Elephas maximus indicus: one gene and its partner. The protein of the gene in region 1 purifies or fractionates together with the protein of each later gene. This does not show direct contact. Links are inferred from orthologs where the notes say so. Each region holds a gene or a part of one and is shown in the gene's direction. Other genes may lie near its edges.

Evidence for each region.
Region 2: the proteins of KAT8 (region 1) and KANSL1 purify together in Homo sapiens (affinity purification with western blotting; 4 studies listed by BioGRID and IntAct, with this or other methods). This does not show direct contact. The link is inferred for Elephas maximus indicus from reciprocal best matches to the Homo sapiens genes KAT8 and KANSL1.

Annotation. Positions count from the first base shown.
Region 1 is NC_064830.1:90,352,102-90,359,991, forward strand, and holds the start of KAT8 (histone acetyltransferase KAT8), read left to right. Parts: upstream 1-4,873; 5' UTR 4,874-4,974; coding exon 4,975-5,185; intron 5,186-6,478; coding exon 6,479-6,553; intron 6,554-6,632; coding exon 6,633-6,808; intron 6,809-7,890. Other genes in the region: BCKDK (3-methyl-2-oxobutanoate dehydrogenase [lipoamide] kinase, mitochondrial), read left to right, coding at 1-31, 508-666, 759-903.
Region 2 is NC_064837.1:52,968,102-52,975,325, reverse strand, and holds the start of KANSL1 (KAT8 regulatory NSL complex subunit 1), read left to right. Parts: upstream 1-4,223; 5' UTR 4,224-4,253; intron 4,254-5,814; 5' UTR 5,815-5,956; intron 5,957-7,224. UniProt on the Homo sapiens protein: Non-catalytic component of the NSL histone acetyltransferase complex, a multiprotein complex that mediates histone H4 acetylation at 'Lys-5'- and 'Lys-8' (H4K5ac and H4K8ac) at transcription start sites and promotes transcription initiation.

The DNA of each region.
Region 1 (7,890 bases):
TCGCCAACAATGATATCGATCTCGTCATCAGGTTTGCCCTGAGTGGGAGTTGGGTGGGGTGGACAGAGGTTCCAGGCACTGATTCTGACTTACTGTGTGACCTAAGCCAGTACCTGCCTCACTCTGGGACCTGGTGTCTGGTCCGACAAGATACTCTCTGTCCTGAGATTCCCATGAGCTGGATATTAATGAATCCGGGGCCAGCTGCAGGCCCAGGGCAGTGCCCCTGTCAACAACTGAGGGGCCTGGAATTGGGAAACATTCAGGAGTAAGCAGTAAGTGGTGCTGGGCCGAGGGTAAATGTCAAGTCCTGTGAGAACGTATAAGCAGTCAGCATCCCAAGCATCAGTGAGGATGGAGAAAGGACACTCTCCAAGCAGCGTCCAGGAGTCTGGGTGGACAGCATTCTACCTTTGGGTGGAATGAACAGGAAGGCAGACTTCACACTGTCTGCTTGGGAGGTGGGGAGTCAATACTGAGCCAAGCCCATTATCGGCATCCTGCCAGGATTTCAGACCGGGGCGGGGGAATCGCTCACAAAGACTTGGATCGGGTCATGGACTACCACTTCACTACGGCCGAGGCCAGCACCCAGGACCCCCGGATCAGCCCCCTTTTTGGCCACCTGGACATGCACAGTGGCAGCCAGTCAGGACCCATGCATGGGTGAGGCGCCACCTGGCCAGGATGGAGGGGTGGGGGGCCCCAGGGGACTCAAGCCTCTGAAGCCTCCTATCCTATCCCCTGCCCACCCTCAGCTTTGGCTTCGGGCTGCCCACATCACGGGCCTACGCGGAGTACCTTGGTGGTTCCCTGCAGCTACAGTCCCTGCAGGGCATTGGCACGGATGTCTACTTGCGGCTCCGCCACATCGATGGCCGGGAGGAGAGCTTCCGCATCTGACCCAAGTCCTTGGCCTGCTTGCCTGCCCAGCCTGGGCCACGTTCCCTGCCAAGACCTTCCAGGTTAGGCAGGGTCCCAACCTGTTCCACTTGCTGCTGCATCTTGGGTCTTAGATCCCTAGACAGATGGACTTATGTGGAGCTGGGTACCCCCATCCTCCCTGCCTCCAGGCCTTCGAAAGGGGAAATGGGGACCCATGAGGCCTCCAGCACCAGCTCCATCATTCTTGTTCCTGGGGGACCTCCCCCACTTGGACCTGCTGTTTATTATTAAAGTTCACATTTTGAATGCCCTCTTGGGCCCTGTGTGTGGGGAAGGCAGGTGAGCTTTTGCTTTTGCCCCTGTTCAGAGTCCTTGATTCTTGAGTTTAAATGGTTCATGTCTCAGTCTCTCTGTCCCAGCAGCCCAGGAGTAAAAGTGGGTTCAAGTCTCTCGCACATTTGATTTGGTGGGAGTGAGAGTGACTTTGACAGCTTGTGCGAAGACCTTTTATTTAGTACACGTTTATGGATCCCAGACAATATCGAAGGCCCAGGCTGGCCTAGCTCTAGGCCTCAGTTCTGACTCTTTCCTGCCAGTCACGATTTCTGGAGGTGAAACTTACCAGACTGGGCAACTTTCTGAGCCACCTGATTCCTGAGCCTGAGTAAGGTTAAAAATACTGCCCGCCAGCTGTGTCTGCTGCCACCAAGGAAAGGAACACACAAGGTTGTTTTCTGGCAGGCCCCAGCAAGGACTGGGTGCCCTACCAGAGAAAGGTGGGGCTCTGGTAGGAGGCCAGGGTGTTGGGCAAAAGAAAAGGGCCCAAGACAGCAAGTAGGCTCAAGGTTATGCTTGAAGCAGAACTTCCCAGGGGGGTCTCAGATGGGAACCCCTTGCTCATCTTGCCAGGAAAGGAGAAGAAAGGCCCTCTGGGCGTGTCTGGTGGGATTAAGCAAACGTCTTACTCTGTCTCTGCCTTCACATCTCTGAGCTCTGACAGCTAACTTCCTGAGGCTGGCTCTAGATCTACCCCATTTCCTACCCTTCAGGGTGATGGCTGGTAGAGGAGACAGGAAATTGTATCTGGAGGTCAAATGGCAGGTGGTGGGAAATGATTTGCTGGGCTGCAAAACTTCTGTCTGCAGGGCAGGGTGGTGAAGCTGGAGAAACAGGCAGCAGCCAGAGGGTGTAGGGCTTTGAATGTGCAGCCTAGAAGCTTGGGTTTTGTTCTGAAGGCAGTGAGGATCCATGGACAGGTTTTAGGCTAAGAAGGGATGTCTCTGGTTGGATTCCCTAGAAGTAGACCCTGAGAGGACTTGTGTCCAAGTGATCTGTTAAGAACATGCTCCCAGGAAAGACCCAGAGGGAGTAGGGGAAGCAGGAGAGGGGAGGGGAGGAAGTCGAGCAGGGATAAGATCTCCGACAACAGTCCAGAGCCAGTAAGTTATGCCTCAGAGTTGGAGGTAAGAGAACTAACTAAGCTCACCAGCACTGATTCACTCTTCCACTTGACAATCATTCCTTAATGGCTATGCTGGGAAGTGGGAGTGGGTATGTACTTAAATTCCCGGGTTGAAATCTTACCTTTTCAGCATTTCCAGGCAAAACAGCTCTATTAGCTCGAAGGCAACTCACCAAAGAGCCCCAGGTGCTGGCCTTAGAAAGTACAAGTCAAAGAGAATTGAGGCACACAAAGAAAAGGGATCCTGGGGATCTGGGCAGAACACCTGCATAGTCCTAGGAGGAACTATCTGATTTGCATGTTAGAAGAATCACTGGTGGCTGGTGGATTGAAGAATGAGGAGGCTGATGCAGTGACCTTGGTCAGGGGTTTGTAAGGCCTAGGCTAATCCTTAACTAGAAAGGATAGCATCGGTAACTGAATGTGTCCAGTTAAGTCAAAAATGAGGCACCAGTACCCTGGCTGGGTAAAATAACAATCTTGCAGATAGGAGAGGGGTGGGGAGAGTCAATAGAATTTTAACTTTTTTCTTGCCTGTTTTTTGGTTCTTTTTTATGCTGCCAGACACCTGGCATTCATCAGCCCCCAGAGTCCTCCATTTCCCACGAGCCAAATTATCAGCACTTCCCACCGCCATCCCCCACAGATACCCAGCTGATATATTTTTTTAAATTGTTCTTTAAGTGAAAGTTTACAAATCAAGTCAGTCTCTCATACAAAAATTTATATACACCTTGCTGTGTACTCCTAGTTCCTCTTCCCCTAATCAGATAGCACACTCCTTTTCTCCACCCTGTATCCTCCATGTCCATTCGGCTAGCTTCTCTGCCTTCTCATCTCCCCTCCAGATAGAAGCTGCACGCATAGTCTTGTGTCTACTTGAGCCAACAAGCTCACTCCTCACCATTATCATTTTCTATCCCATAGTCCAGTCCAATCCCTGTCTGAAGAGTTGGCTTTCGGAATGGTTCCTGTCTGGGGCTAACAGAAGTTCTGGGGACCATGACCTCCGGGGTCCTTCTAGTGTCAGACTCTTAAGTCTGACCTTTTTACAGGAATTTGAGGTCTGCATCCCACTGCTCTCTTGTTCCATCAGGGATTCTCTGTTGTGTTCCATGTCAGGGAACTAATTGGTTGTAGCCAGGCACCATCTAGTTCTTCCAGTCTCAGGCTGATGTAGTCTCTGGTTTATGTGGCCCTTTCTGTCTCCTGGGCTCATATTTACCTTGTGTCTTGGTGTTCTTCATTCTTCTTTGATCCAGGTGTGTTGAGACCAGTTGACGCATCTTAGGTGGGCGCTTGCTAGCATTTAAGACCCCAGACACCACTCGCCAAAATGGGATGCAGAATGTTTTCTTAATAGATTTTATTATGCCAATTGACCTAGATGTCCCCTGAAACCATGGTCCCCAGACCCCCGTCCCTGCTACTCTGGCCTTCGAAGTGTTCGATTTATTCAGGAAACTTCTTTGCTTTTGGTTTAGTCTGGTTATCCAGCTGATATTTCTTGATCTGGCAAGCTCTGAGTCCCATTATTAGGCCTTGAGCGATCACACCCCTCTCAGAATTATTTCTAAGCCCAATAACCAAATTGGAAATCAAAGAAGGCTCAGAGAATTGCCAAAGGTAACATTTATGGGAAGACCTATCCTGCCTGGGTCCTGTGAACAGTTAATGTGCTTGGATGCTAACTGAAAGGTTGGAGGTTCAAGTCCACTCAGAGGGACCTTGGAAGAAAGGCCTACTTCTGAAAAATCAGTCACTGAAAACCCTATAGAGCACCCAGTTCTACTCTGACACAGGGTTGCCATGAGTCAGGAGTTGACTCAACAGAAACTGGTTTACCCCATCTAGCACTGTACAATACACTTGTATGTGTGGTGTGTGTACACACACATATCTGGTTTCCTTTACTAATGCTGACTGAACAGAAAATTGTACATCCTACCCAGCACAGCATCAGACTTCAGGATTCCTGCCTTAAGCGCAAGACTTTCTCTGTAGTAACCACTGCCTTTGTCTAGTTTCTGTTCAGGGGACGTCTGGTTTTGGGGGGCCTGAGCCTTTAGAAAGGTTATATTCTGTGAGGGTGACTTACTGGCTCTTCTGGACATACCCGTCTTGCTTCCCACACCCCAACTGTACCTTCTTCCCAGCTGAGCAAGAAAGAGTCTAGAATCTTCAAAAACAGTGTGGCCAGTATTGGGCTAGGGGAGGCCTGAAGCCCAAAGGGAGACCTGCGACATTCTTGATACCCCCATGCCAGGCAAACCGTGGAGACCGCTCAGCGTGGGGGCAGCGCCCCGATATTTGGCACATCTTGTCTTCCTCAGGCACCGAGGCCTTTAAAAATCCTGAGCTGAGTTGCCACGTGAGGAAAGTCTTTCTCCTCTCTTCAGGTCCAGGGTGCAGCCATATTTCCATACGGAAAATAAGGAACTCAAAGGCAACTGGCACGGTAACCGTCAGGCTCGTCCGGGCGCCGCGGGGACGGCCACACAAACCAATGAAGCCCCGCCACATCACAGAGCCCACCGTGAAGCCTGACGCGGCCCCCGCCACGCCTTGCTGACCCGGAGCTAAAAAGCCGCGCGGCGCCGGATTCTGCCGTCACTTCCGCCACAGCGATGGCGGCGCAGGGAGCAGCTGCGGCTGTTGTGGCGGCGACTTCAGGGGTCGCGGGGGAGGGCGAGCCCGGGCCCGGGGAGAATGTGGCCGTCGAGGGGACCGCCCCGTCCCCGGGCCGCGTCTCTCCTCCGACCCCAGCGCGCGGCGAGCCGGAGGTCACCGTGGAGATCGGAGAAACGTACCTGTGTCGGCGGCCGGATAGCACCTGGCGTGAGGGCGGGGCCCGGGGCCGGGGTTTAAAGGACGAGGGGGCGGGGCCTGAGGACGGGTTCAAGGCTAGGGGCTGGCAGTCGTGGGTAGTGGAGCCAGAGGACAGAGAACCGGGAGTTGCGGGCTCTAAGAAGCCAGCCCAGTAACCCTGGACTTCTTCCCGGGCGCCAGTGCAAACCTCTCAGTCAGGCGATCACCAGATCCTTCGTGTTGTATATAGAGCGCCCGTTCAACTCCCTTGCCCAATCTTAGGCTTCATTCGCTTTCTTGTTAACCCTATTTCCTCACCAGTCTCTGGTCTCTGCGTGTTCCCCTTCCATCTGCCCTCTACAGCCGCCAGCAGAGAGGGCCTTCCAGAACACAAAAATGAGCTTCCCCTTCCTTTCCATTGTCTTCCGTCATCTCCCCAATATACCCCAATCGCCTTAGAATGGCATTCATCTGTGTGACCTGCTCTCTGGTTTCTAGCCACCCCAGACAAAGGCCTATTTGCCAGACCTGCTGTGTGCTCTGAAGACCATATGGTTTTTACCCTCTAGGCCTTCTGCTTGGAATGTTTTTTCCCTTTCCCCTGGTTCACCTGACTAGCTCCTACTCATCTTTATTGTCACATACTCTATGACGCCATTTCTGACTCCCTTCAGGCAAAGTGAGTCGTTCACTTCTGTATGTTCCCATCACGTTTTTTTCATACCTCAGCTGTGATATATGTAACATTGTTTTGTAATTGTCTCTGTTTTTCACCATCAAACTGAGAACTTCTGGCAGGGGGCGGGTATTGGGGACAGGATCTGTTGTGATTCATTGCTGTGTCCTCTGTACCCAGCAACACAACATAGGGCCAGACACGCAGTGGCTGCTTTATTCGTTTACGGAATTGTTTACTAGATGTCAGGCACTGTGCTGAAAACTTTACAGGCATTAACTCACTCTCTGAAGTGGGTACTATTATCTCTATTATATACATGAAAAAACTGAGACTCAGAAAGCTGAAATACTTGCTCAGTTATATATATATAGATATATATATATAGATATGTATATACATAATGAATCATTGTGTATAGTAAAGTGAACATTGAATTTGGAGTCAGACTTAAATTCAGCTAAGTATTAACAGCCCCAACCTGGCCTACCTTACAGGGTTGTAGCAGTGATTAAGTGGCAGATGTGGACAGGTAAGGTAGCTCATATGCAGCCCTGGAATCTGGAAACTGTTTCTCAGTGTACAGGATCCCTCTTGTCTCAGCCCTCTCTTTCCTTCCTGATGATCCTGTCCTTTTTCCTTCACAGATTCTGCTGAAGTGATCCAGTCTCGAGTAAATGACCAGGAAGGCCGAGAGGAATTCTATGTACACTACGTGGGCTGTGAGTGGCTTGGGGCATCCACGGCCTGGTTGGGAGGAGAAGGGTGGCAGGGCAGCACCCTCATGGCCCATCCCCACAGTTAACCGACGACTGGACGAATGGGTAGACAAGAATCGACTGGCACTGACCAAAACAGTGAAGGATGCTGTGCAGAAGAACTCAGAGAAGTACCTGAGTGAGCTGGCCGAGCAGCCAGAACGCAAGATTACTCGCAACCAAAAGCGCAAGCATGATGAGATCAACCACGTGCAGAAGGTCTGGGTCTCCTCCCCTTCCCTGGGGCCCCAGGAAGCCCAGCTACCTCTGCCAACTTCTTTGGGCCCCTTGGTCACCAGTGCCAAAACCACAGCAGCTGTCAATTCTTAAGCTCTAAGAGTGTGTCAGGGCCTTTACCTACCTCCTCTTCTTATTCCTCACAGATGAGAAAACTGAGACTCAGAGAGGGTAAGGCTTAGCTATAGTCTCACAGCAAGGAAGTGAAAGTCAGGCGTCCTGTACCCATAGCCTGTTTTATCAGCTTGTTGTCTGTGCCATCTTAGGTAAACTGACTTGAAGTCTAAAGGGAAGAGTAAAAAAATGAATAATAATCAGGCACTTGCCCTTGCCAAGCACCATGTTCTGTGTATGTATAAGTTCATCAGGTCGTTGTCAACATTTCAACATCCCCAGGGATAATCATCTCTTTTTGTAGGTGAGGAAGCAAGATTAGAGGGGTTAGGTAATATGCCTAAGATCCCACAGCTAGCTCATTTTTGAGCTGGAATTGGAATAATAGTGCAAAATATTTGTTGGTCTGTGAGCCAAGTACTATGCTAAATATTTTACACATGTGATGTCCCTGAAGTCTCGCAACAACCTTGTGAATAAGCATTACTGTTATCCTCAGTTTCCAGGGGAGGCACAGATAGGTTTAGGAACTTGTTCAGGACCATCCAGTCAGGAATTAGGTTTGCACTCAGGCAGTCCAACTTCAGAGCCCAGCTCTTAACCATGACTGTGACACATAATAGAATCTCAGGCCATCTGTCTCCAAAACCTGTTTTTTTGTTTTCTGCAAGCCAGGCTGCCCTTGGCTGGTTACGTTGCCCTCACTCTGAGACTTAGTTTCTTCATCTGTACAATAGGAAGTTCAAACCAGAACAGGGTTTAATCGAGCTCTCACGGCATTCAGATATTTATCAGTTTCAACCAACTCACTTTCCTCCTCTGAGCATTTATTGTGTGTTTTGCAGCACTGTTTTTCAAACTGGGACACAGCCTGCTGGTAGATTGCAAAAACCAGTTCAGTGGGTTGTGACCAGCATTTAAATTTTAAAAAGGGAAGAAAGAAATAGAAT
Region 2 (7,224 bases), on another chromosome or scaffold:
AGTAGGAAAATTTCCAGGACAATGCCTGCCACGTAGTAAGTGCTCAATAAAGATTTGGGGAAATGAATGAATAAGCCCCTAGAGGTGGAGTTGCTGAATTAAAGCACACAGGCATTTATAATTTGGTGGTCATGGCCCTGGTGCCTCAGTGGTTAAAGCAAATCTGCTGCTAACCAAACAGTGGAACCCACCAGCCACTCTGTAGGAGAAAGATGTGGAAGTCAGCTTCAGTAAAGATCACAGCCTTACAGATCCCATAGGGCTGTCTACTCTGTCTTAACAAGTCGTTACGAGTCGGAATCGACTCAAAAGCAGTGGGTATGGCTTAATTGCCCTCCACAGATATTGTAATGATTTATGCTTTTACCAGCCATACATAAAAATGCCTTTTTTCCTCACTCTGTTGCCAATACAACGTGTTAGCAGATATTATCTGTATTTGTTATCTGTTAGATGAAAATATATCTCAATGAAGTTTAAATGTGTGTCTTATTAGTGAAGCTGAGCATCTTTTCATTTGATTGAGAGCCATTTATATTTTCGTTTTTCAGAAATTTCTGACATACCCTTTGTCCACTTTTCTACTGAGATGTGTTTTTTTTTTTAATTAACTTTTATTGAGCTTCAAGTGAACGTTTACAAATCAAGTCAGACCGTCACATATAAGTTTATATACACCTTACTCCGTACTCCCACTTGCTCTCCCCCTGAGTCAGCCCTTGCAGTCTCTCCTTTCGAGACAATTTTGCCTGCTGAGATGTGTTTTTTTAAAAAACATTTTTATTGTGGAATATATATACAAAAACTTTTTTGTGTTTGCACATATGTAACACTTTAAAAATAAATAGTTCGAGAGCCAATACTTGTGTACCCACTGTGGTTAAAAAAAAAAAAACAACAACACTGCCAGCCACTTAGAATGCGCACCCTCACCCCCATCAACTGCAATTCCCTCTGTCCCCTGCTGCCGACTCTCCTGACTTTTATGGTGTTCTCTTCCTTGCTTTTTCTTACAATTTTACCACCTACCTTTGCCTATTTTTGAACTTTATGTAAATGGAATCATATCGTGTATGTGTGTATATCTATACACATTTATATTCATATATACGTATATATATTCTTCTGTATTTTGTATGTGTGTGTTCCATACTACCTTTGTAAAAATTAACCCATGTTGTTGAGCATAATCATAGTTTGTTCATTTTTATTGGACGAATATACCACAATTTATGCATTTTACACTTAGGTAGACATTTGAGATATTTCCAGTTTTGGGCAATGAGGAACAACACTGCTATGAACATTGTCATACAGTAATTCTGACACTTTAAAGTATGCATTTCCTTAGAATATAGGTCTAGGAGTGGGATTGCTGGGACATAGGATATGCATATCTTAAATTTATTGGATCATATGAAAGTCTTTTCCAAAGTGGCAGTACCAGTGTACACTGCCACCAGCAGCGTATGAGGATTGCACTTCTTTATTGATTGGTCTGTAGGAGGTCTTTACATAAAGCATTATGGAAATTAGCCCTTTTGTAATACGAATAGCAAAAATAATTTTTTTTTTCCCGAGTTTACAATCCCTTTAAAGAGGCACTGATGTTCTTCTCCCTGGAGGAATGTAAATATAACTGGAAGAAATGGAATATTCCAATTTTGCAACATTTAAATGAAAAACAAGTGTTCTGAGTTAACCTTATTGTTCTTAATTTGCTATTGTACATGTCATTAATATGAATAATCATACTAGCAATATTCATGGAATGCCCTGGAATACAAGATGCCAAATACAATAATGACAGTTGAAAGTTGAGTGTTTAGCCTGTGTCAGGCACTGGTTAAAACTGTTACGTGTATTAACTCTTTTAATCCTCACAACAAACCTAGAAGGTAGATGCTATTTTTTGCCCCATTTTATAGATATATAAAAAAAGGAGCTAGTTTGAAGCTGTTCTTCTAGATCTGATTTAAGCTGCGTTAACGAACTCAAAAAAGACTCATAACGGATAAAGATGTTCTCTTTTTATAATATGTGTTTTTTTTCTTAGGAATGAATGTTGCCGCATCCTGGGTTTCTTTTCCCCATTGTCTCAGATCTGCAATATACTTCATAGTTTTCTCTTTTTTCTTGGAAGGAAGACAAGGTATATATATCTCTCTTCAAGCCGCACTCATAATCCTTTGTCTTCTGTGTCACAGGCCAGACTGGAAATCAGAGTGCTTGGGGCCTGTGGGAATGGGGGGAGACAAGGATTAGGGATGAAGGTGGGGACTCACTCTGGTATGGGTGTGTGGAGGATGGGGAGGATGATCTTTTAAGGGTAGGGTTTCTTAATCCGTGGTCCACAGTTTAGGGAGTCCATGAATTTGAATAGATGGAAAAATCTTCATTTTTACTAAAGTGAACAAATTTAGTATTTTCTTCAGTTGTGCATGTAGACAACAAACCATAGCAGTATTAGCACTACCTGTGATCTTGTCACCAAAATAAATCACAGATATTTTCATATTGTATTATAGTTGTTGCAGATATCTTGAAATATTATTTATGCTCATTTAAAAACCAAAAAAAACAAAAAACAAACAAAAAAAAACCACTGCCATTGAGCCGATTCCGGCTCATAGCAGCCCTATAGGACAGAGTAGAACTGCCTCATGGAGTTTCCAAGGAGTGCCTGGTGGATTCGAACTGCTGACCTTTTGGTTAGCAGCCGTAGCTCTTAAACACTACACCAGCTCAAAATTATCATGGTCATTAGATCTGCCATTAGCTTTTATTATTTAATATATTGATAAAAAGTATGTATTACTATATCACACTTTAAAAATATTTTGATAACTATATTTCAATATTTGGTGTCTCATGAATTCTTATGTATATTTTTTATGCACTTAAAAACATTGTTCTGAGACCAAAGGGTCCATATGTTTCACCAGATTGCCAAGGGGGTCCATGGCATAAAAAAGTTAAGAACCCCTGCTTTATGGGTATTTTTTTTGGCTTTCATTCTTACTGTCACAGGGTTACCAAAGCCTGAAGAGGATCACTGAAGAGAGCTTCAAGATCTGTGAGCTTCTCATAGATTTTATTATCCTGTTTTTCCAGAGGCCCTTTCTCCCTTAACTTTCACAACTCTTCCATATTCTGTTTCTCTTACCTCACTGACCCTCTGTTTCTTTTCCAAATGTCTGACTTTAACTGTTGGGTATCTTTTTATACTTTGGTGAGTTTATCCATCAGCATGTCATTGACCACTATATTTAGGCAGAGAACCCTAAATCTCTAGTTCAGATTGCTCACCCTTTTGTAAATTCCTTAACTCCAAGTGCCTCTGGACACCTCCACTTGGTTTTACTGCTTCTATCTGGAACCGAACATATTAATAACTAAGTTCCTCCCCAAATCTGTATCTTGTCCCAATTTTCCTGAACAACCACCTTGCCTGTTCCCCTGATTTTGCGATCATAGAATTATTTAAAAATTTAAATCAGTTTTTTAAAATTGGTAATCTTTGTGAATAGCACAAAAATCAGGATATGCAGTGAAAAATATAAGTCTTTCTCCCACCTGGTTCCGCAGGCACTCAGTTCCCCTCCTAGAAGGTAACCACTGTTACCAGATCTTAGAGTGATTTTGGATTCCTTTTTATAGGGGCTATATCTCAAGTCCTCTGTCTCAGAGATGTGTGCCCTTTTCTCTCCAGGCCCTCATGACCTTATATTTTGTTAACTATACATATGTATATAAATATTTATATGTGTATATGCAGTGGGTTTATATGTTTATATACATGTATAAAATCTCTCCCTGTGGCTTTCCGGCCTCGAGTTTTCATCACGTCGCTTCCTGGATGAAAAATCTACCGGGGTGGGGGGCAGGGGCTGGGGGTGATGGAGAAGAGGACAGAGAGGGGACTTAGGTAGGGGGTCAGAGTGGCAGACGGTTGGGAAGCTCGACAGGGATTCCCTTAGCCTATTCTTCCCACCTCAGGCCCCTTTCCAGTCCCCTAGTCCAAAAGCCTCCAGTTTCCAAGAGCTGAGGCAGAGACAGAGACAGAGAGATATACAGAGACAGAGACGCCGAGGCACCAGCATCCCTCTCCCCCTTCCGTCCAGCCCCGCCGCTCTGACGGACACCCGCCATCAGCCAATGGCGCCCACGATGTGTCCCGGAAGGGCCAATGAGAGACGGAGGAGGGCGAAAGATTCCCCGCCCCCACTTCTAGGCTTGGTTGAGCCGTGCAGGTAGGTCCGGGGCTGGGGGAGCTGCCGTTGGCACTGGTGCCCAGGGGGGTGGGGGCACGAGTGGGTAGGGGTGATGGTGGGGAAGGGGAGGCGGCCCCGACGGGGAGAGCCCGAGGGGGCGGCCCGGCCAGGAGGCGGGGAGCCGAAGGGCCCTGGGAGCGGGCGCCGCCGAGGGCCCTGGAAGCGGCTGGGCTGGGGGAGTGGGGACGCGTGTGTGGGGCACACGGACCCCCGCCCTGCGCCCACCCTCAGGACTGGGCCGCGGGTCGCTGGCCGAGTGGCAGGGGAGCCTGGCTGACCGGGGGGCAGGCCGGAGCCGGGGGCAGGGGCGCCGAGCTGAGCCCAGGGCGCCAGGCCGAGCCGAGGTGGGACGGACCGACGCGGAGAGGAAGGGAAGCTGCATCCCGCGGGCCGCCCCTCCAGAAGCGAGCTGGGGAAACGGCCGGCCGCCGGTTCCCCCACCTTGAGCTCACTCCTCCCTATTCCCCCACCCCAACAATGGGTATGGGGCAGGAGGAGTCGCCCCACTGCGGGGAGGTGGGGGGGGGATTCGGTTTGGGACAAGGGTCCAAGTTGGGGGGAGGGGTGGGAACTCGGGCTCTCCCTTTTCTTTCCCCTCCTGGCTTCGAATGTGGGGATCTTGGAGGGGCGTATTAAACATACCTGAGACTTGGGGCAAGAGTCAAACTGCAGGCCCCCCCCCCCCCGCCAAAAAAAAAAATCCGATGAGCGGTGAGGAAAGTGATGCCATTTCTTCAAAGCCAGAGTGACAAACACGTACCAAGAACAAATCCACTCCAGAGGTTTTTATTTTATTTTTTATTAAAAAACGGGGATACTTTCGTCTTAGATTTTTCGAAATATATTTTAAAGAGGTGGGTGCTGTCATTTTTGTCCCTACTCGGGCCAGCCTCCATTTTAAGCTAAGCAGTAACTGGTTAAGCTGGAATTACATTCAGGCCTAGGACTTAAACAAGGATCCTACAAGAGGTCATTTAGTCCATCCTCCTGCCGCCAGGCAAAATTGTCTCCCTCCCATCATCAAAATTAAGTTGTTTGGTAGATTTTTAAAGATCTCTGGGGAAGAGGAGTCTTTTCCTTGATTGTAGTATTTTAGTCAAGAGATTTTATTTTTCAGTAGAATCAGCTCTGAAACTTAATTTAAGCCTAATAAAACTCAGAGAGGTTTTAATTTACAAAATAAAATTTAAGTGTGGTAAGGGGCTTGTAAACAACAACAACAACAACAAAAAACACAAATTATCTTTCAGTAGTGTTTATGAAGTGCCCGGGATAATCATTTTTCTCTCTGGGATTTTGGTTTTCTAATTCTTGATAAACAACAACAACAAAATGTTTTACTTATTTTATCTAGGATATGTGTATATGTACAGATAGATACATAAACCTACACATTTGCCCTTTCCAAAAGGAGACTGACTGTTTTGTACATCTTTTAGGATGGTGACGCAAGTAGTACTTCAAATCTCTGTCCTGGTAGCTTAAACTATTTGCTTATTGATTTATTTTTTTTAGTCTAAATGTAAGTTCTCTCTTTCAGATAACTTCTTGAAACAAAAAATTTTCCTACCTGCTCATACTTGGTGACTTCAAGGGAATTACTAAGACTCCCTTCTTGCTCATTTCTGAGTATTGTCTGAACTATTCCTGACACTATGAATGCTATTTGGATGCCTCTTAAGGTAAGACATGTTATTTTTTTCATTAATGGCCTCATTTATTTTCTTTAGAATTGAGAACATTTTACTTCTTGAATTTGTTATTCAGCTCTTTACCTGGCACTCCTCTCCCCTCAAAAATTATTGTGTTTGCCTTCTAGGAACTGATTGGTCACTCCCTTTGTATTGCTACTGGTCTTGATTACTGGTGTTAAAATGTTGATGAAGTCCTCAGATTAACTTCCATTATAATGGTTTGTTCAATATTTTAGTTTTAATTATGACAACCCACATAGTTGTAAAATTCTGTTCCATTCCCAGCAGGATGAGCTGGCAATTCAGACATCGAGGTCCACTCTCAAACAGGTGCTTGAGAGTCATAGGTACTAGGGTGTGTCCCACTCTTGCAAATCAGCTGATTCATGTATTGCAAAAGGTGTTTCATTAACCATTGGTTTATTCTGAAACTTTATATAGTATATTAGAACATTCTAAGACTTGCTGGTCTACGTGGACAGCTCTTTTGGAGTGTACGCCTTCTGCTCCCTAGCTTTCTGCATGAAATTTTATGCTGTTTTTCTCAACAGGTAGCATTTTGTGTCAAGTTTCATCTCATGGGGTAAATGCTATTTGGACAGTGTGGGCAGAATGGTCTTCAGGTGAAAACACTCGTTGGTGTGGTTGTTCTCCACTGTCCCTTGCCTCTTTCCCACCCTTTGTGTATAGATGGCTAAAGTATTGTCCATTAAGGCTAAGCAGAGGGCAAAGCCTAAGACGTGGGGAGGAAGGACAGAGAAAAAGATAAGGAGTGATGGAGGTCCTCCACCAGTGTCCCCAGATGGCACAGGTTGCCTTCCCTGGAGCTTGATGCTAGTATAGTTAAGATCATTGTATAGTAATCTGCCTGTGGAATTCCAGGTTGATGCAGTAGGTAAATCACAGTATAAGGCAGTGTCTGTACCCTAAATATTTGGACTTGTGGAAAATCTTTAGGTAATGTAGACTGAGTGCTCATTTTCATTTATGTTCCAGCTGCTATTGGTGGATAATGAGTGCCTGTATTAGTATGAAAAAAGCCAAAGTGGCATAGTTTTTCCAGCCATTCTCTCTGTAGAGTTGGAGGGTTTGCATGGGGAGCCCAGCCAGAAGTCCTGAACCATAGTAATTGCAGGATCTTATTGTACAAGAATGTTTGTTTCTCTTCGGTACCACGTGTTTAGTGCCAGTACCTGGCATCCTCTGTGCTCTTTGGGAAGCAGACGGAAATATCAATGGCTACTAGTTCCCTAGAA